Linked DNA regions of Arabidopsis thaliana. The protein of the gene in region 1 interacts with the protein of each later gene in a pairwise test. Each region holds a gene or a part of one and is shown on either strand. Other genes may lie near its edges.

Region 1 (8,931 bases):
TTGTCTCTACTTCTTCCAGAAGAGTGAGTTTGTGTTTTTACGTTCCCGCGGCAGTGAATTTGATGTAATTGGCAAAAAAAAAAATTGATTCATTTGTGCAGTAAAAAATCTATTGATCTTGATGTGTCTCTTAATTTAAGAAGACCACAGTGCCAAATTCACGCCACCACAAGAAAATCTAGCACAGTGGCCGTCGGTGATCCCCACACCAATGCATCTCAGTTCCAGATTGTCTTGGAAAAGTTCTCGTTTCTCGATGGTTTACATGTCGTGTTCGGGCAAGTTGTTGAAGGACTCGACGTGCTCAGGAGCATTGAAGACGAGGTTGGAACTTTGAACAGGATTCCTTCCAAGCCGGTGGTTATCGCAGACTGTGGTGAGCTCTGAGAGAGGCTACAATGGTGTCTTGTCTTGTTTTAATGGTTGCTCTGTTTTTGTTTTTAGTTCGTTTGGATTTTGAGTTTGGTGGTAGTTTTAAATCTGAAACAAAACAAGATTTTTTTCTTCCATATATGAAAATTCTGGACACAGTTTCAATGAGAGCAACCAAAATAGTTGAAGCTTGTTACATAAAAGTCAAGAGGATACAATGTTAAAGAACATATGAAGGAGACAAAAGAAACAAAGAAGAATAGTACGTACTCTCTCTGATTCAGTTCTGGTTTCCCCTTAACTCGTGGCTTTACCGGTAACTTTTTGGGCAATCCAACCGAGCCCATCATACAATCCTTCTCCAGTAACCGCACAACTTGCTTGAATATGCCAATCATGGTTCTTGATACTGTGAAGGTTAAGTGCATCCGTGATCTCAGCAGGAGTCATTGCGTCTTTCAGATCCTGTTTGTTTGCAAAAACTAGTATGACCGAGTTTTGAAGATCCTCATGACCAAGTAACCTGGCTAGCTCATCTTTCATGAAAGAGATTCTGGCTCTGTCTGTGCTATCTATAACCACAATCACAGCATGTGTTCCACGATAGTATGTTGCCCATGAAGTTCTTAGCCTATCTTGCCCACCAAGATCCCATACCTAAAGACAACATATCATAAAAGTAAACATCGCCTCAAATATTCGATTGCCAGTGTCCAACAGTTAGTTTTTGACAGGAAACAATTCAAACTTTAGTAAGTTTAGTTACGTTTATATTCATCATTGAGTTTTGACATATAAGAACACATGCAGATTGTCATAAAACAGAGATGAATTCATCTCAGGCCATGACTTTGACCACTGTATAAAGATGTTCCAAACAGTCCTCTGGCAAAAAAACTAAGCTAATGGGAAATAGCAAACAGTTCCTCCGGTATAACAAACAAGCTAGATAAACAACATCTACAAAAATTTACTATACAAAACCATAAATCGCACATACGAAAACGTTCATTATGAGTTTCTGACACCTTCTCAACCAATCATGACAAGAACTTAGACAAAAACATCATCCATTTTTCAACGAGAAAAATGCACACACCCAAGCAAGAAACATAGCTAGGGACAATAACACAATCAAAAGATGGCAATGGCAAATTTAAGAAACATCCATAAAGTTTCAAACTTCTAAAACACGTCCCTAGATAAGAAGCTAAGAAACAACTTCACCCAAATGAATAAAGAAAGAGTCCAGTACCTCAAAGCGAATATTCTTGTAGACAAGCTCTTCAACATTGCTACCAACAGTAGGATGAGTAGTAACAACTTCACCCAAATGAAGTTTATAAAGCGTCGTCGTTTTACCAGCATTATCCAAACCAACAACAACAATCTTATACTCTTTTGCAGGAAACATCATGAACCAAAACCTCGACATGAATGCTCCCATCTCCTCCAATTTCTATCACAAACAAGATCCTAATCAAATAAAACACATCATTACTTTTACGATCAAATTGTTCTACAAACAGAGTGAAATCGAGAAACCCTAAAGATACATCCTTTAAATTGACCCATCAATTTTACAAACCCAAGTAATTGAATCAGAGAAGCCCAGATCAGATTTGGATACAACGATCCCAGATTCGATAAAGTTAACCAAATCTAAATTATATATATACAAATCGGGAAATTTGTGATCAAACCTTGAATCAGCTAGAATCTGAAGATTGCAGAGGTAAGAATCGGAGATCAAAAAAAGTTCTTCTTCTACTATTTTGTAAGCTTTTGAGGTTCCTTCCTTAAAGCAGATGGGTGGAGAGAAGAAGAAGAAGAAAAGTATGCGGGAAACAATGTCAAAACTGTAAATATGATGATCTAAATTATTAATAACTTTTAATATAACAAATATTAAAATGAAAACTATATAGTAATGTTTTCTTTTACTTACCCAAACGGCTGCAGCCTCTACCGTAATGGCACCGAACACGTCACCGCCATTAGCCACGACGCCAAAGACGAACATTGTTGAAGACTTGAAATCCACAAAGATGTTTTTAAACGAGAAAAAAAAAAACTCAAACGGGCTTAGGGCCTTTCCATATATTTTAGATTATAACAATTACATTTTCTCGGCCCACAGAAGTATATAAAATTAAATAGAAGTAAATTATATTGAGGATTTAAAATAACAAATTTAATTATAATTTGAAATCATGGTTATAATACGATCGTGTGAAATGTTAATTAAATGCTTATATTGATTATTTTATTATTAAATTTGTGCTAATTTTGGTAACGAATCTTATTTTTGTTATTGTATACGATGATTTAAAATATATATATATATATATATATATATATATATATATATATATATATAATAGTTCTAGAAAAGTCTAATTGGATTTTTTAGATCCTATCATAGTTGATAGTTCTCTTTTTGTATATGGCTAGCAATGCGGAATCGACTCTCTACATTAGATTCAATGAAGGCTTGGAATGTGAACTTGAATCGAACATGTGTGTTATGTAACACTCTTATCGAGACACGAGAGCACTTGTTTTTCAGCTGTAAGTACTCGTCGGCAGTCTGGTCCTCCCTAGCGAAACCACTACTCTAGTGACGATTCTCTACAATATGGCAAGCTCTAGTCATTATTATTACTTCTGATCACTGTAACAGAATCCATATATTCTTCCTCTAATACAGTTTTCAAATAATGGTTCATTCGATTTGGCGAGAACGCAATAAAAAAAACACACAATAAAACTCTGATTCTTATCACACATCTTCCTAAGTGAATAGATAAGCTGGAAAAAAAAAAAACTCTCAATCATTTGAAAGGAGAAATATAGTAGATACGAACCAAATCTCCAAACATGGTTTGCATCTAAAAGTCCTTAAAACCTCTCTTGTATAATCTAATTTCAAAACAATTTTGGAAAAGTTACATTTGATGTATCCTAACTTTATTTTTTCTTGGTCGAATTTAATATTTTATTAAAAATAATAATAGTAATAATCACAAAATCTAATTTGATCATTCTTAGGTGGGTAGGTACACTTATTTTACATACAGCCTCGACGGCACCAAAACATAGAATATATATATAAATACAAATACAAATATTCCAAATATAACCTCTCTCCCAAAGTCCTATCATATCAGAAAAAAAAAAAAAAATCCAAATTCAACACTCTCACACTTCGATATCTCCGCCTTCATTCTCCTCAGAGCCAACTGTCCTGAGATTTCGATTTCGATTTCTCCGATCTCTCTTCCTCCGTCGCCGGCGAAACCATGTCTCAGTCTATTCAATTCTCCACTCCTTCACACACTCCTCACCTTCTCCATCTCCCTCACTCACAATTCAACCGTCCTCTCTCCTCTATCTCCTTCCGTCGCTTCCCTCTAACAACCATCAAATACACTTCCATCAGAGCCTCCTCGTCATCATCTCCTTCACCGGATCTCGATTCATCGTCCTCATCATCATCCTCGCAAGTACTTCTCTCACCTAACGGTACTGGTGCTGTGAAGTCTGATGAGAGATCCGTTGTCGCTACGGCGGTTACGACTGATACGTCTGGGATTGAGGTTGATACTGTGACGGAAGCTGAGCTTAAGGAGAATGGATTTAGAAGTACGAGGAGGACGAAGCTGATCTGTACGATCGGACCGGCGACTTGTGGATTTGAGCAGCTTGAGGCGCTTGCTGTGGGAGGTATGAATGTGGCAAGGCTTAATATGTGTCACGGTACGCGTGATTGGCACCGCGGTGTGATTCGTAGTGTTCGGAGGCTTAATGAGGAGAAAGGCTTTGCGGTTGCTATTATGATGGATACTGAAGGTAGTGAGATTCATATGGGAGATCTTGGTGGTGAAGCTTCAGCTAAAGCAGAGGTTGTTTAATCTCTTCTTATTTTGATTTGAATTCGATGTAGACATTGCTGTGTTTGTGATTTAGATGTTTAAGCTTTGGTGGTGATGACATTTTTACAGGATGGTGAGGTTTGGACTTTCACTGTTAGAGCTTTTGATTCTTCTCGTCCTGAACGTACCATTAGTGTTAGCTACGATGGTTTCGCTGAAGGTATATGCAATTATGTTTATGTAAAAGTGGAAGTGAAAACATTAGATGAATATTATGGTGACTGCGTATGAAATAGGAATCATTTGGTCTTTGTGTGTGGTGTAGATGTAAGAGTTGGGGATGAACTTTTGGTTGATGGTGGGATGGTGAGATTTGAAGTGATTGAGAAGATTGGTCCTGATGTTAAGTGTCTATGTACCGATCCTGGATTGTTGCTTCCTCGAGCTAACTTGACGTTTTGGAGAGATGGAAGTCTTGTACGAGAGCGTAATGCCATGCTTCCAACAATTTCTTCCAAGGTTTGTAATTTTGTATCTTCCCTTTAAGCTTTGAATTATGATTCACTTTACTTGGTAAATTTGGGAGGGATCAAAGCAATGGTGAAGATGTACACTTTTGGAAACTAGATGAGTCCATGTTAGCAAAACAGATGATACCTGAGGGAAAACATACTCATTTTCACTGATGATACCTCAATTCTTTATATTCAGGACTGGTTGGATATTGATTTTGGAATTGCTGAAGGTGTGGATTTCATTGCTGTATCGTTTGTCAAGTCGGCTGAAGTCATTAATCACCTTAAAAGTTATCTTGCTGCTCGTTCCCGTGGAGGGTAAGTAAACATGCTCAATATCAACACATCATACTACTGTACAGGAAACATATGATCTACTTTGGGATTGGGTTTTGCGTCATGTATTCACCATCTTTAGTTATAGTTTTATTTTGATGTTGTATTCAACTATGATGCAGGGAAATTGGAGTGATTGCAAAGATCGAGAGTATCGATTCACTGACCAATTTGGAAGAAATTATTCTAGCATCAGATGGGGCCATGGTTGCAAGAGGAGATCTGGGAGCTCAGATACCTCTTGAGCAAGTTCCAGCAGCTCAACAGAGAATCGTCCAAGTATGCAGAGCTCTTAACAAACCCGTCATTGTCGCTTCACAGCTATTGGAGTCCATGATTGAGTACCCAACTCCAACCAGAGCAGAAGTTGCCGACGTGTCTGAAGCAGTAAGACAAAGATCAGATGCATTGATGCTCTCTGGAGAATCAGCTATGGGACAATTCCCAGACAAGGCGCTCACGGTTCTAAGGACTGTCAGTTTAAGAATCGAGAGATGGTGGAGGGAAGAGAAACGCCATGAGTCTGTACCGCTTCAAGCCATAGGCTCTTCATTTTCAGACAAAATCTCAGAAGAGATCTGTAACTCAGCTGCTAAAATGGGTAAATTTAGGTTCTTTGTTTTCCATAGAAGGCAATATGTCTTTAGTGTCTCATTTTACTATCCAAAAACTTGCAGCTAACAATCTTGGAGTGGACGCGGTTTTCGTTTACACAACGAGCGGACACATGGCATCACTGGTCTCCCGATGTCGCCCGGACTGCCCGATCTTTGCTTTCACAACCACAACCTCAGTGAGAAGACGCTTAAACCTACAATGGGGACTTATCCCATTCCGTCTCAGCTTCTCAGACGACATGGAAAGCAACTTGAACAAAACATTCTCGTTACTGAAATCAAGAGGTATGATCAAATCTGGTGACCTCGTGATCGCAGTCTCGGACATGCTGCAATCAATCCAGGTAATGAACGTCCCGTAATTCTCTCTCTTTATACAATTTCGCAATCCCGCAAAAGAGTGTTTTGTTTCCTACTTTTGTTACTGTTTTTAGACTACTCTTACATTAGATTCCAGAGGCATCATCATCTTCGGTTTGTTAACAACAGTAATGTGTAAGCTTTGTTTGTAGTGTGTACTGTTTGTTTTTGGTTTTCAATAATATCAGTAATCTTATTCAAATATTCGATTCTATCATTTAGTCCTTTTGTTTTATCTTTTTGTTAGGATATATATGTAAACCCAAATAGGATGAGTTCGAATATATACCATAACCCTATATTATAAATAGTGTATATATAATCACAATTAGAATCGCCTCTCCATTAGAGAAGATATTTGAACAAACATGAAAAGTTGCAAGAGACCTCGGATGAAGAATCAAGAGAGAGATTTTTATGAAACTCCGTCGGATTGTTCGGAAGAAGAGATTCAACGGAGTTGCGAGTTCGTGAAAAAAGTTAAAGAGTTGGATGATAAGACAATCATCGTTAAATTTTTAAATGCAATGAAGTCTTATCGATCTAAGTCTTTAAGTTACATCGATCTCAAAACCAAAGTCGCTTCTATTCTTCGTAACCACGACGCTCTGCTCCAAGAATTCCATCAGCTTCTTCTATTAGATTCACCTATCACAGAGAAGGATTGTAACTCGGCAAAATCAGACGTAGAACGCACGGTTGAGTTGATGAAGAAAGTGGAAGGTTTGGGAAAGGGTTTACACGGTGCGTTCCTAAATCAGCTGGTGTTTGGCGGTGATATTGTGGATTTGGTTGAACAACTCGACGTGATTCTCTGCGATCACGCATCTCTTAAAGAGGAGTTCATATTGTTTCTAGTTGATTCCCGTTTACTCAAAAAACCGAAACGTGGTTTTGAGGCGGGGGCAGAAGAGTATAAGACTAGACTTGAAACTGAAGAGGAATTATCATCCTCTGATGAGTTTTTAAATGGGAAATACGTTTCAAAGAGTCAGTATGATCTGGATCAAGTGAAGAAGAAGAGACTGATGCAAGAGTAAGAAGACGAAGATGACTGATGCGAAAGAATTTAAGGTAAAAACGAAGCTATGACCGTCAAGAACTAAAGAGCAATGTGAACAAGTGAAGAGAGTTTTGTTTCTTTTATTTTTCTAGTCTTTTTTTTTTATTATTGATTTGTGGCTACATTGTGATTGTGATTGTGAATCTCGTTATGTTTCTTTGCATTCGAGTCTTCCAATGTTGTTTTCTATTCACCAAAAAAAAAAAAAAAACGTTGTTTTCTTAGGAGGGCGTAATGAATCCTTTTTCAAAGTTTTTATGCACACTTGATTTAAAAACGTGTTTAGGAAGTTTATGAAAACTTCTGATACACTTTGGTTATCAAAAAGTTCATGAAAACTTCTTAAAAGACTCTGATACCATAAACATAACAAACACAATGCCTTTAAATGTTCTTGTCCTTTTTGCCTATTTTCGTCAATTTTCACACTTAACACACTTATACATTGATGCCTTCTTTGCTTGCTACGTAAACTCGGGATTCTACATTCTAAGGATGACGGGCTTATTTTCTAATGTTTGGCCCATTTAGGCCCGCAGGTTTTAACCCAACATCTTCGAATATATAATCATCGTCAATATATTGCTTTTTGATGTTGTTATTGCTATGGACCGGTGAGAGAGATATATTAGTTCGCCCCAATCAAAGTTAAACCAAATTTTTTTGGTCGAGGCCTCGAGTGAAACAAAAAAGATGGTGCTGTGAGTTACAAAAACAATCACTTATTTGTGTATAATTTGTAGAACTACTACACTTATATGTTATTTTTTCCAAGAATATCTCTATTTTAGGTTCAAATATATAAATTTACCCTCAGAACTAGTTGATAAATTTAATTTAAAATAAATAAAAAGTGTTGATCGAAAGAATAAAAAAATCGTAGCTCTATCTCAAATAGTAATTTCTTTTTAAAAGTAGTATTTCTATTACAAAAAAAAAGAACAAATGTCTGTTTATCTTTTTGAAAGTTATTCAAAAAAAAAATTGGCAATTGATAAAATTTCTAAAATGTGATATAAACTACTTTTACGGACTTACTTGTCACAACGGTTCATTTTAATATCTTTCCGAAAGTTTTGGGGTCCTCTTGACCAATCGTTTCTATGTTCAATATTCCGAAATTAAACCGTGAAACTCACTCAAAGAATGATTTTAACTATTTTGCAACACCAATTTTACACTCCGACACTAATGAGAAACATATCAACATAATTGAATGCGTCAAGTATAAAAACTAAGCTGGTGGTTTAAATTAATCCACTAGATTAGAGAACGTAATTTTTATATAGTTTAGATTAAATTAATGTAAATCAAATAATATTGGAGGATTTGATCATATCTTCCCTTCTACTGTTTGCATCACTTAAACCAATGGTCCCATTTCTATTAAAATAGAAGCAAATGGACCCAATCATATATTTTAAATGCAAAAGACTCACAAGTTTTAGATTAATCATGAAACAGTTCAATAATTCAATTATTATATATAGTCAGAATAGGGACCTTTAATTAAGTAGTTAATACTTTACGGGTCCGAATTATAAAGACATATACAAACAATGTAATAAATTGATAATAGAGACAACAACACCAACAATAGCAAACAATAAATTAAGAAATTCTATCCATGTTATTGGCTGTGAATTCAACCACTAAATTATGATGAACATCGTACATATACCACCCACTTTTATGATAAATAACAAATGTATTATTGGAAATAATTTGTTACATTGCATGAGAAAAGTCTGTCTTTGGTTCAACTATTTTTAGGTTATCTTCTCTAAATACCT
Region 2 (5,809 bases), on another chromosome or scaffold:
GAAGGGGGAAGTTCCGGAACAATCAATGTGCTTGACCATGGCGCAAAAGGTGACGGGACAAGTGATGACACAAAGGTAAGTGAGCATTTCTATTGTTTAGCTGCGTTTCTATCCGTCTCATCGATATATAATGGAACCGTTTGTATCGCAGGCTTTTGAAGATGCTTGGCAGGTAGCTTGTAAGGTGGCAGCGTCAACATTATTAGTTCCATCTGGTTCTACGTTCCTTGTTGGACCTGTTTCCTTCCTGGGAAAAGAATGTAAAGAGAAAATCGTCTTTCAGGTAATTTACTCAAGAACAAAAAAATGTTAATCAAGCATTTCTAGTTATATAATCGTGACTGATGTATTTGGATACTGTGTAGTTAGAAGGAAAGATCATAGCTCCAACGAGTGCTAGTGCATGGGGATCAGGTCTCTTGCAATGGATAGAATTCAAAGCACTTCAAGGAATCACTATAAAAGGAAAAGGGATCATCGATGGACGAGGATCAGTATGGTGGAACGACATGGTAAACAGTTAATTCAATTTTCTTGGCTAAACAAAATTGTGAAAGCTTGCAATGACATCTGCTAACGTTCTTTTTCAACTGTGACAGATGGGTACAAAAATGCCAAGGACCAAACCAACAGTAAGTTTTACCTGAGTAAATTACATGGATATTGCCAAATTAAAACCAACATTTATTTTGGATTCACCATGGTTGGTATGTAGGCTTTGAGGTTCTACGGGAGTAACGGTGTTACGGTCAGTGGAATAACCATACAGAACAGCCCTCAAACCCACCTCAAGTTTGATAACTGCATAAGCATCCAAGTTTCTGATTTCACAACTTCATCCCCTGGAGATTCCCCAAACACAGATGGAATCCACCTGCAAAACTCTCAAGATGCCGTTATATATCGCAGCACGCTGGCTTGTGGTAACCACAGACTCTACTTATTGAAGCTATGATGAAACTTACCACGATGAAGAAATAACAATTCCTTTCATTCTACAGGAGATGACTGTATATCAATTCAAACGGGATGCTCGAATATCAACATACACGATGTAGACTGTGGCCCTGGCCATGGAATTAGCATTGGAGGACTGGGAAAGGACAATACAAAGGCGTGTGTTTCAAACATCACTGTCCGTGATGTCACGATGCATGAAACTACGAATGGTGTTCGAATAAAGTCCTGGCAGGTAAATTCTGTTATTTGCATAACAGAATAGAGGTAAAGACAGCTGAAAAAAAGCATGCGACAACAATTCAAAGATGCTGACAACTTTCTGTTATGTTTAATGATAGGGAGGATCAGGGTCTGTAAAACAAGTTATGTTTTCAAATATTCAAGTCAGCAACGTAGCCAATCCAATAATAATAGATCAATATTACTGCGATGGTGGCGGATGCCACAATGAAACTTCAGCAGTCGCTGTATCAAACATAAACTACATAAACATAAAAGGTACCTACACCAAAGAACCTGTACGCTTTGCCTGCAGTGATAGCTTGCCATGCACAGGAATCTCACTGTCGACCATCGAGCTTAAGCCAGCCACAGGAAAAGCAAGTTCACTTGATCCTTTCTGCTGGAAAGCACACGGTGAACTGAAGACAAAAACTCTTCCACCAATACAATGTTTGAAAACAGAAAAGTCACCGGAAGCTGCAAGTCGGTCTAATAATGATGCTTGCTGATATTAGAGTAAGAAATTATGTAGAAATGTTAAGATAGGCCACACATTATACGAATAAAGAAGGGTTTGATTCCCTTCCTTTGTCTTATACTAGTTTTTATAAATCATTTGCAAACACAATGTAATATATGGCATGCAATGTATTGCATTCTGTTATAGACAATTGGAAGTTATTGAGTTAGTCCCAACCCATAGCCTAAGGAAGGATTTCATCTGTGAAGCAACAATCTAACAATTATGACTATTTGGACCAGTTATGATAGAACACATCACAAGTAATATACTTCTTCGAAGAAAAGTAATGTCATCTGAGGGATGCAAAGAAAGTATATAAAATGAGAGCTAAACAATATATCAAAAGTCTAATTACCAACACATGTAAACAACTAACGCATTTTACTTTGTAACAACGGATAAACCACGACATGGTTCAACTTAGTCGGCAAGAACATTCTTAACGCAGTTCCAAAGCTCAAGCTAACAGCACAAGACAGACAAACTGAAGAAATATATTACTCAGACCAAAATAAGATTCTGAAATATATGATCTGTGTCTCAACCGTACATCCTATTTGGGAGATTTGCATCACATAATGTGATGTGCTCCTCTAAATTTAAAAAGCAAACGTGTCTCTTGTCATTGTCTGCTTCCTATACCATAGTAAATTCCTGCAGTGGAAATTAAGTAGAATTTTTCAGGAAAAAAACCCAAGAGAACAAAGAATAAAACCTCAACTCAGAAAAAACAGTTGTACTCATATCCTACACGTAGATGAAAGGAATTTGAGCGAGAATGTCTCATCAACGTTTGCCAAAACCAACTCCTGCTTTCCTTTTTTGTCGTGCTTCTACTCTTTCAGGGCTTGGCAATCCAGTTTTTTCTTCGTACTTCTTTTCTAGGGCCTACAGTACAAAACTTGTCAGGAATATTATAGAATTACGATGATAACAAACATTTTAAGACAATAGACTACTGAATGAAAAGATGTTCACCAAAGTCACGAGTCACTACTAACATACAAATGGTAATTTTATCCACGAAATTTAACTAGTGGTTATTGTAGCTTTAGACTCTGCCCTGCTACAGTTTTACTCACCTCTAGCTCTTCACGAATGCTATCAAGAACTTGATCCGTCATTCTGTCAAAGAAGAGAACTCCCTGTAATTTGAAGAATGTTCCATCAGACCGAAATGAAAGCTTGAAAGTGATACTCACATACAGTAACACAAAATACCTCCATGAAAACAAGTAAAAGTGAACAAAAGTACTAAAGAAGATAAGGCCCGTGAGTAAATGATGACACTTTTCAATGTCGAAACATCAAAATATAAGTGACTGCAGCCATTCAACTGTACATAGATGTACTTTCTGTGTTGTCATTGCTATATTTAATCAAGCAAAGTTATCAAAATAAAAGTGGAGAACAAACCTCCAGATGGTCGTATTCGTGCTGAAAGATTCGTGCAGGTAAACGTGATAGACTGATTGAAAATCTTTCACCAGTAATATCCCTTGCATCAATCTTGACAGATTGTGGTCGCTGAAAGCAAAACCAACCACATAAGAACCGGTTTCCAAGAAACAATGAGCAATAATAAGGTTTAAGTAATTCAGTCAAGAAAGGGTGGACATACAACAACTTCAGCATAGATCCCCGGGAAGGAGAGGCATCCTTCATCAAACGGTACTAATTTATCGGAATATTTCTTGATTTTCGGATTTACAAGGACAATTTCTTTTCCTTCTCCAGGCTCTCCAGCTGGATTAAACACCATGAGTTGAACATTGAGACCTACTTGTGGTGCTGAGAGCCCAATGCCATCCGTTCTGTCCAATAGCCATATGTAATCACAGTATCACTCTGTTATTAAGTACTAAGTTACTTACATTATAAGGAGGACTTACTTGTACATAACATCAAACATAGCATCAACCAAGTTCTTTAAATTCTCGTCAAAAATATCAATCCTCTTGTTCTTAGCCCGTAGTATAGGATCCGGATACTCAACAATCTTCAAAGGCGTCTCAAATTGAACATCAGTAGCTTCAACATTATCACAAAATTACAATCATACATAAACAGTACATGCTCATAGAGTAATCAATAATAGATAAGCAAGTCTGTTACCTGAAGCTACTTTATCGTCTTTACGCGAGACGCGCTTTACTTCTGCGCGGACCGAAGATGTCAGAGGACTGGTCCGGTTCACAGTAGAGCAGAACGTGACCGTGGATTTGAGCCGACCATAACCGGCAGAGAGAGTAGTAGCTCGGCGAGATAAAACCGGTAGGAGTATGCGAGAGAGTGGTGGAGCTTGGAGGAAGCAGTTACAGACGGCCATGGCTAGAGAGGAAGAGTAATTTCAGACGAAGCGGAAAAACTGAATTTTGTGTGGAGAGTAAGTAAAAGATTGAGTAGACCATTTTGTAATTCTGCTTTTGTTTAAGGTGCAATTCCGAAATATTTATATTTTATAAGGACGATTTTTAAAACCAATATTCTATTATTAGAGCTTTTGTGAGGAGAGACATTTTCTCTTTCGAAACTCGCGGCTTGCTCTACAACAGGTCCTTCTTTGGAGCTTCTTCGAAAGGTAAACAAACTCTCACACCATTCATCGATTCAAGTTCTGTATCATCGTTTCTCAAAATCTCTGGTATATTGATTTTCTCGGTCTTTGATCTCCATCTTTCTTAAGAGTATCAAGTGATTGATCGATTGATTTATCTGGTTTATACGTTCTTCTTCTTTTTGTTCATGGTCTAAAGGTGTTATTCGTCACTTGGCTTTGTTCAAGGATCTCATTATCTATATTTTTTTTAATCTATACGAACTTTGTTGTTAAGGTTTTTTGGAATGTTAACGTGATCGTGTTTATCAATAAAGATTTAGTGTTTCGTGTTTCTTTTGTTGGTCTTCAGTTATACAGAGAATTTCTTTAGAGTATTGTGGTTTGCTTTGGATGTAGGTGCTAGCTAAAGGAAAAAAATGGGGCTTAATTTCACAAAGTTGTTCAGCCGGCTTTTTGCCAAGAAAGAAATGAGGATTCTGATGGTAGGTCTTGATGCTGCTGGTAAGACCACTATCTTGTATAAGCTGAAGCTTGGCGAAATCGTCACTACCATCCCGACCATCGGTAAGGTTTAAGGATTCCTTAAATCACAGTGTCTGTCGATGTGTACACTTAGATTAATATTTTATGTGTTTCTTACCTGTGTGTAATCCTCCGCTACGGATTTTATGTAATCCTCTTCTGCATGGAAGTTTTGTTTCTTAAAATTTAATGTTAAGGAGGGTTTCGTTTCCAGGATTCAACGTGGAGACTGTTGAATACAAGAACATCAGCTTCACTGTTTGGGATGTGGGGGGTCAGGACAAGGTACATATTTAACTCTTGCCATGTTTATGGTATACTGTCCTCGTGATGCTTTATGCTCTGCTCTGGTTTTGGTGTGACTAGTAATGATCTTTCATAAAACCTGGTTATTCATATCGTGCAAGCTCAATTTGAAATTTTAATCTCCACGTCTAGTATCTATGAGTGTTTGTCGTCTTCTTTTTTTGTCTGATATTTGACATTAAAATGCACTTCCGTAAAAACATAAACAGATTCGTCCCTTGTGGAGGCACTATTTCCAAAACACTCAAGGTCTTATATTCGTGGTTGATAGCAACGACAGGGACCGAGTTGTGGAAGCGAGGGATGAGTTACATCGCATGTTGAATGAGGTTTGCCTTCTTTCTAGTTTTCTCTTGTTACACAGTTAGACTGAAACAACTTCCTATAATTTGATTTATACCATGTTTGTAGGATGAACTGAGGGATGCTGTCCTTCTTGTGTTTGCAAACAAACAAGATCTTCCCAACGCAATGAATGCTGCAGAAATAACTGATAAGCTTGGTCTTCACTCTCTTCGCCAACGCCATTGGTAAAGTTATTTTCTTTCTACAAAGTTTTTCATTAATTAATGTGGTTAGATTGAAAAATAAAAAAAAATGTGGTTAGATTGATCACATTGTGATAACATGTATCTTATGTTTTTTTCTTTTAACAGGTACATTCAAAGCACTTGTGCCACATCTGGAGAAGGTCTCTATGAAGGCCTTGATTGGCT
Region 3 (6,256 bases), 7.9 Mb from region 1:
TGATGATTGCAGGTGTCTGCAAAGGGAATGGTTGAAGACTCCTTGTCCACACCTTTATCGAGTAACACAAGGTAAAAACTGAATTAACTCTTAGAAAACTTCTTTTTACTTCCTTCATTCACGAGTGGTTAGAGAAGTAATCAGGTGTTACAGTAAGTGCAGAGGGAAGATAGCTCCTAATTCTTCTGCCAAGACAGGTCGAGGAAGATGGAATTTCCTCCCTGCGGAGTAAGAAGAACTGATCTTCATAAGAGTTTACTCAATTCAAAAATGTATAATGTGTACGTACCTTTTTAACCAAGTTATTGGAAAACAAAAGCAGGACACCGAGCTGTTTTACACCGTTTGGCTTAAGAACAGAGGAGAGAGCAGAGAGAAGAAAAAAGGCAAGAATAGAGATATTTTTGGTTTCTACGCTTTTGTCTTGTCACTTACCATCATTTAACTGGTTCTTGTGTTTCAGAAGCTAGAGGGGAAATTCAAGGAAATGGAGACACAGAACCAGAAGGCGGAGGAGAGGAGTGTGGAGAAGGAAGAGAGTAAACTAAGGCAAAGGCTATGCTTCAAAGCGAAGCCACTTCCAAATTTCTACAAACAGAGACCAAAATCAACAGACCAAACTAAGAAAGTAAGCTTACTTTCACTAATCGCCAAATGTATGTGTGAAGTACTAAAAGAAAAAGATAGTAGCCATCGTTTCTGTGTCTGAGAGTTCTCTGTGTGGTCTTTGTAGGCTCTGTTACAGTAGCAGAGAGGTCTTACAGAAACTCCCTATCATCATCTTTCAGAGAGATATTGCGCTGACTTAGCGCCTGTGGCTGTGGGGAGAACTATCAAAACCGGATTGCCTCAAAAAAGGATTAGTTTGGAATTGTTGACATACTGTATTTGGTTTTATTCCAAGAAGGAATATTGAATTTTACTAGATTGCATTGTATGAATATTTGTAAACTTTGTTTATATATGATTTGAAAACACAAAATAAGAAAGAAAGGGGGCATTCCGAGAATTGAACTCGGGACCTCTCGCACCCTAAGCGAGAATCATACCACTAGACCAAATGCCCTCTTTGAAAAATTTGTTTTTCATTTAATTTCTAAATAAACATTAATAAGTTCACAATCATCAAAAATTACGTAATCAAAAAAAACATAGTACAACAACGGTACGTAATAATAATAACTCCATTCAATCTCTTGATTAATATAAATCACTGTATATAGTATAGTTAGTTAGTTAAAGAGATACGGCCTCATCTCATAATGTGAATCTTATGATTCCGTCTCAAGTTTAATTAAAAAACAAAACTTAGAGAGAGAAGATGAAGAATCCGGCGGCGGCGACAGTGCCGGCGATGGAGAGCTTCACATTAGTCGTGGCGCCACTTTTGGGTGACTCGGCGGCGGCGGGTCCATCAGATGAGGGTCCGTCGGAGGAGGGACCATCGGCTTCGGGGGTAGGAGCGGGTGGGGAGGAGACGGTGGGTGCCTCGGCGGAGTCACTGGGGCTGGCTGCAGAGTAGTCGTCTTCAGGGGTGGGTTCCTCAGCAACAGGGGATGATGCTTTCGGTGCGGCGGCGGAGGATTTGGGTGCAGCGGCAGGAGCCTTGGTTGGGGATTTGGTTGGTGAGGCGGTGGGTGCAGCTGAAGGTGCATCGGCGGCGAATACGGTGCCCACGGCCAAAGCCAAAAGGGCAACTACGACAAATAGACGTGCCATTATTTTCTACTTTTTAAATATAGTTATAGAGATTAGTAAGAGGAGGTGTCCAAAGCTAAAGCAGTATATTTTATTTGTTTGAATACTGCAGAAGCTTCAGATGAAGGAAAACAAGAGGACAATGAGATGGATTTATATGTTTTGAAATTTGAGAAATTTTAGGAAAATCGATGGATTTGAGAAGAAAATGGGCATCCATTAGCCTTATTTTAGAAGTGAGCTACTTTTTGTATATATTAATTTTTGTACGTAGCAAAAGATAGCGAGATCCTAAAAATTGGATTTCTATTAAGAACAAACGATTGGGCCATGAATTTAGTTCAGGCCCACATGAGATGTGTGATCTTTGTTTTGGAACTTTCCTACTTACCACAAACACTAAAAACTCATCTAAAAACAGAGGATGGATATTCAAGCCCACCACAAAAGGTTGTTGATTCAAAAGGAGATGGCGAGAGAGATCCCAAATTGCATAAAAGATTACAAATCAATAATATGAGGAGCGACATCCACATGTTATTTTGTTCGGTAAATAGAAACAGTTATGTACTCTTTTCATCTACATACGTATTATACGTGTGTGAGTGTGAGTGTGTGGTTTTTACTCGGAGCGAACTCTATCCAACCTATCCACACTCTTCCTCCCCCTCTCAATCTGGTCAACGCTCTTCCGAGTCTTTTCATGGCAGTCAACGCTCCTCCGCGAGCGATCAAGTTGATCAAACGAGATCTTGAGCTTGCTGCTGCTGCTACTCATCTTCGACTGACTCTTTGGTGGCTTCTCTTTCTCTCTACGCTCTGTGCTCTGCCTCGGCTTCACTCTCCTGTCCATACTTCTCCTCGGGGGCGCATCTCTCACTCTCTCTGATTGGTCGCTGCTCATCCTCGGACATGGTAATCTCTCTACTGTTGCTATGAACTTCTTGAGGTGTCTAATGTATTCAGGGTAGTGTTCAAGATCACAGTGGTTCCCTCCTTTCACCCAGAGCGGCTCGTACTTGTCTTTGCAGAGTTCCCATAGTTGTTTCCCATGAGAACAATCCACTACCTCATCCGAAGTTCCCTGCACATATTTGAAACTGTTTGGATCCAAAAAGCTTATCAAAAATTCAAACGAAAATGTATCTATCTGAAACCTGACTTACATGAATGATGAGAACCGGGCAATCGACATATGGGATTTTGTCGATATTCTGCGGAAAAACACACACTCACACACAACAAGCTTCTTACATTACAATTTGGAGAATGTGTAGGATTAATAGAAAGAATTGGTACGTGGTCTACCTTGTAGATGTCGAACCAGTAGGTTTTCTTGACGGAATACATAACTCTTAAACCGGAGAGAATGGGGCTGTGAAGGACGACGGCTCTAAGTTGAGGCAACCGGGAAGCAAGATCTAACGTAGGTCCGCTGCCTACAGATTGGCCGTAGAGGATGACACCTTCCTGCTTAGAGCCAAAGGTTTCTTCAAGACACTTATAAACAGCTTCGATATCAGCATACGTGTTATGCTCACTCGGCTACAATCAATCATTTAAGAGAAAGAAAGATTTTTGAGAGTTGGTCCTAAAACTCATAATGGATCATCAGACCAATCAGATTGATGGGGTAAAGGACAAACCTTTCCAGTAGATTGTCCATACCCGGAGTAATCGTATCTGCAACATCACAACCAATAATATCAAAGACTGATTGATTCCAAGCAGATCCTAGCCCAAGTTTCCTTTTTTATTGGGGTGGTGAATAAACACTCCAAACATAAACAGAGCAAATACTAGAAACAGAGCTAGAAACGTGAGAATCAAAACAGGGCAAATCCTATACCAAATCAATCAAAAGAAGCATACAAAGATAACATTTTTAAATCAGCATCATAATAATAAAATCAATCGAATTACAAAGGGAGAGAAAGAAAAACAGACCCCATAAGATTAACCTTGAGATGGATGCTAAGCTCAATGAAGAGCTCATACATCTGTCCCAGATCGGCGGCGTTGCCATGGGAGTAGAGGAGCGTGGAGGTAGCCATCGGATGCCTCACGTACATGCCCACGATCTCTGTGCCTCTCCTGGTCCGAAGCTTTACGATTTCTACGTTTTCGCGGTGGGGGAAAGGGCTGAGAAGCAACAGTCCGGTGAGCTCGTCGGTCACCACCTTGTAAGACGGTGGACTCGGCGGGAAGAAGGCAAACTTCGCCGCCACCGATGACGTCACCCCTCCCATCTCCTTCCTTCCTCACTCCGTTTCTCTCTACACAGCTTGCATTTGGGTTTGGTTTATTGAGAGAGCTGCTATGTTTTGAGATTGAAGCTTTTCATCTCCTTGGGAACAGAGAGAGAGAGAGAGTATTAAGCAATACTAACAAAGTGGCTTTTTTAACGATTACTAGATTACTACATTAATCTTAATTGTTGCTTTTCATAAAAATTGATTTACGCTAAAAAATACTTAGAAGTACTTTTGACTTAAATAGGGGTTCGGTATTGGCTATAACGTATCTATGAGAATTAACGTAACAAATTATTTATTATGCGTAGTAATAAATTATAGGTAATTTTATCTCAATTCATCCCTAATATCATAATCTACATTTTGTACTTTTACATATTTTTAACTTATATTTGACATAATACGACGGCTAATCGAATAAAAATACAACTTGCTCATTTGAAAACTCTTTTGTACCTAATTCTCATAGATATGACATGAGCCACCCCTAATTTATGTATCAAAGTCAAGCAGAAGTGGACAGACCATTAAAATTAGCCTTTGTCCCCCACAATAAGAAGGGTTTACATAGATTTCATAATTCAAAGAGTACAATAGAGTTACAAACAAAGTGTTTTCCTAAGATAGACAAGGTGGACAATGGCATGTGGGATGATATGGTTGCTATTTAGATAGAACCATGCAATTCATTGGTTATGATTAGACATATGCCATATCTCTTTTGACATTTACTTAACTTTTTGCCTTTATTATTTAGACTAATCCATCAAATTACTTTGTGTTAAATACTAAAAAAAGAATGAAAGTTACAAATTTTGTGTCTAATTATAAAAACTAGCCCAAACGATAAGAGTAGTAACAATCCATTCTTTATTTGAAGATGGACCACACATGAAGATATGGATCATAACAAGGAAAATAAAACATTATATTGACGACATGAGGGACACATTGAAATGCTATAATTCACTGGACAAGAAAATGAGATATCAACAACTAACACAAAAAACATTTATAAGAAGATAAGCCAATAAATGACAAATTGATCAATTAGAAAATGATAAGAGTATATAAGTAAACCATTAGAAACTGGAAAGAATAAAAAAGAGTATGCTGTGGTGTGCTTCGTGGGGGTCCATTTACTAAAGTGGGATATATAAACATTATGAGAAGAAAGAAAGCAAATAGTTATATTTTGAATTGGTCTAATTTGACATATTCAAAATTGTTGTATTCATCAGGGTTAATTTTATTAACAAAATAAATTCAACATTTATCTATGCTATTAAGAGAAGAAATTGTTAATTATTGAAAATTATTAGGAATACTTCAATCGAACATGTCCCACAAAGGCCAAACCACACACATGGAATGACCAATTCTCTCTCATACAAAGATATTGAAATTCAGAAATTATTTATGAAAAACTATATAGAGAATTCAAATTACGTAAAACAAAAAGAAAAAGCAGCGGGAAGAGACGTGAGCTTATTGCATCATTTAGAAGTTGTAGTTCTCGTCTTCGTGGAGCTTTTCATCGTGACAACAAGAGAAGCTCATGTACTTCTCCATCGGACGCTGACACTCGAAGCAATTCATCTTCTCCGGAATCCGACCGCTCCGAGCAGTGATGTGGAAATCAAAGTGGCCGCAAGGTTTTCCGGTTTCACGGAGGACCTCATCGTGGTGGTGGTCGGACATTGCTTTGGTGTAGCCTTTGGTCGGGACGTGGGTTTTCCAGGTCCGGTCGTAAACACTCATAGTCCTCTCTATGGCACCGTGAGCGATCATCACTATCTCAGGTCCTTTGCTCAGTAGTGCCCATCCTCCAAGCTTGTCGTAGCTTAGTATCTTTTTGATTCCTTGCATCACCTAATCAACGTTTTCAAACACACAAAATCATTCATTAACCAATTGAACCGAACCGAACCGAAATAATTGAAAACCCTAGCTAGTCAACTCTTACATCGTCGTGATCATCGGCTTTACCGAGTTGAATCTTGGAGTACAACATGCTCTCGAGCCTAGTCCAGAAGAACCACATCAAGGCAGGTTCGGCCCAGCTATGGCTCAGGTTTTCAGACCTGATTACTTCACTGATACGCCTGATCTGTTCCCTGTGGCTATGGTTTCGTTTTCCGACGTAAGCCATCTCAAGGTTCACGTTGGAATCTTTGGCCGTTGCTTTGGCCGCCATTGTGAATCTCCTTATCCAGTCCAAGTCATCTCCTCCGTACAGGAAAATGTAATTATCCGGTTTTATCTGCAAATCAGACCCATCATTGTTCATTAATCACGCCTCG

Evidence for each region. Proteins that work in one complex are often made in the same cells at the same time.
Region 2: the proteins of PKP-ALPHA (region 1) and PDF1B interact in a two-hybrid assay, tested with the Arabidopsis thaliana proteins (one large-scale study listed by BioGRID).
Region 3: the proteins of PKP-ALPHA (region 1) and AT3G01690 interact in a two-hybrid assay, tested with the Arabidopsis thaliana proteins (one large-scale study listed by BioGRID).

What each region holds. Positions count from the first base shown.
Region 1 is NC_003074.8:8,135,695-8,144,625, forward strand, and holds PKP-ALPHA (Pyruvate kinase family protein), read left to right. Parts: upstream 1-3,490; 5' UTR 3,491-3,674; coding exon 3,675-4,277; intron 4,278-4,376; coding exon 4,377-4,467; intron 4,468-4,572; coding exon 4,573-4,766; intron 4,767-4,958; coding exon 4,959-5,080; intron 5,081-5,220; coding exon 5,221-5,699; intron 5,700-5,775; coding exon 5,776-6,077; 3' UTR 6,078-6,358; downstream 6,359-8,931. Other genes in the region: ARFC1 (ADP-ribosylation factor C1), read right to left, coding at 670-1,029, 1,628-1,819; AT3G22961 (Paired amphipathic helix (PAH2) superfamily protein), read left to right, coding at 6,444-7,115.
Region 2 is NC_003076.8:4,724,638-4,730,446, forward strand, and holds PDF1B (peptide deformylase 1B), read right to left. Parts: upstream 4,110-5,809; 5' UTR 4,035-4,109; coding exon 3,821-4,034; intron 3,737-3,820; coding exon 3,598-3,736; intron 3,520-3,597; coding exon 3,327-3,519; intron 3,233-3,326; coding exon 3,122-3,232; intron 2,851-3,121; coding exon 2,788-2,850; intron 2,594-2,787; coding exon 2,492-2,593; 3' UTR 2,457-2,491; exon of another isoform or gene 2,402-2,456; intron 2,360-2,401; 3' UTR 2,004-2,359; downstream 1-2,003. Other genes in the region: AT5G14650 (Pectin lyase-like superfamily protein), read left to right, coding at 1-75, 152-283, 366-512, 600-632, 716-923, 1,002-1,192, 1,299-1,691; ARFA1B (ADP-ribosylation factor A1B), read left to right, coding at 4,682-4,829, 5,002-5,072, 5,303-5,422, 5,505-5,623, 5,750-5,809. UniProt on the Arabidopsis thaliana protein: Removes the formyl group from the N-terminal Met of newly synthesized proteins. Has a preferred substrate specificity towards the photosystem II (PS II) D1 polypeptide.
Region 3 is NC_003074.8:254,444-260,699, reverse strand, and holds AT3G01690 (alpha/beta-Hydrolases superfamily protein), read right to left. Parts: upstream 4,406-6,256; 5' UTR 3,948-4,405; coding exon 3,646-3,947; intron 3,382-3,645; coding exon 3,345-3,381; intron 3,244-3,344; coding exon 3,007-3,243; intron 2,913-3,006; coding exon 2,865-2,912; intron 2,783-2,864; coding exon 2,321-2,782; 3' UTR 2,004-2,320; downstream 1-2,003. Other genes in the region: AT3G01710 (TPX2 (targeting protein for Xklp2) protein family), read left to right, coding at 13-71, 163-228, 323-386, 464-709; AGP11 (arabinogalactan protein 11), read right to left, coding at 1,309-1,719; SEOR1 (sieve element occlusion amino-terminus protein), read right to left, coding at 5,454-5,825, 5,920-6,216.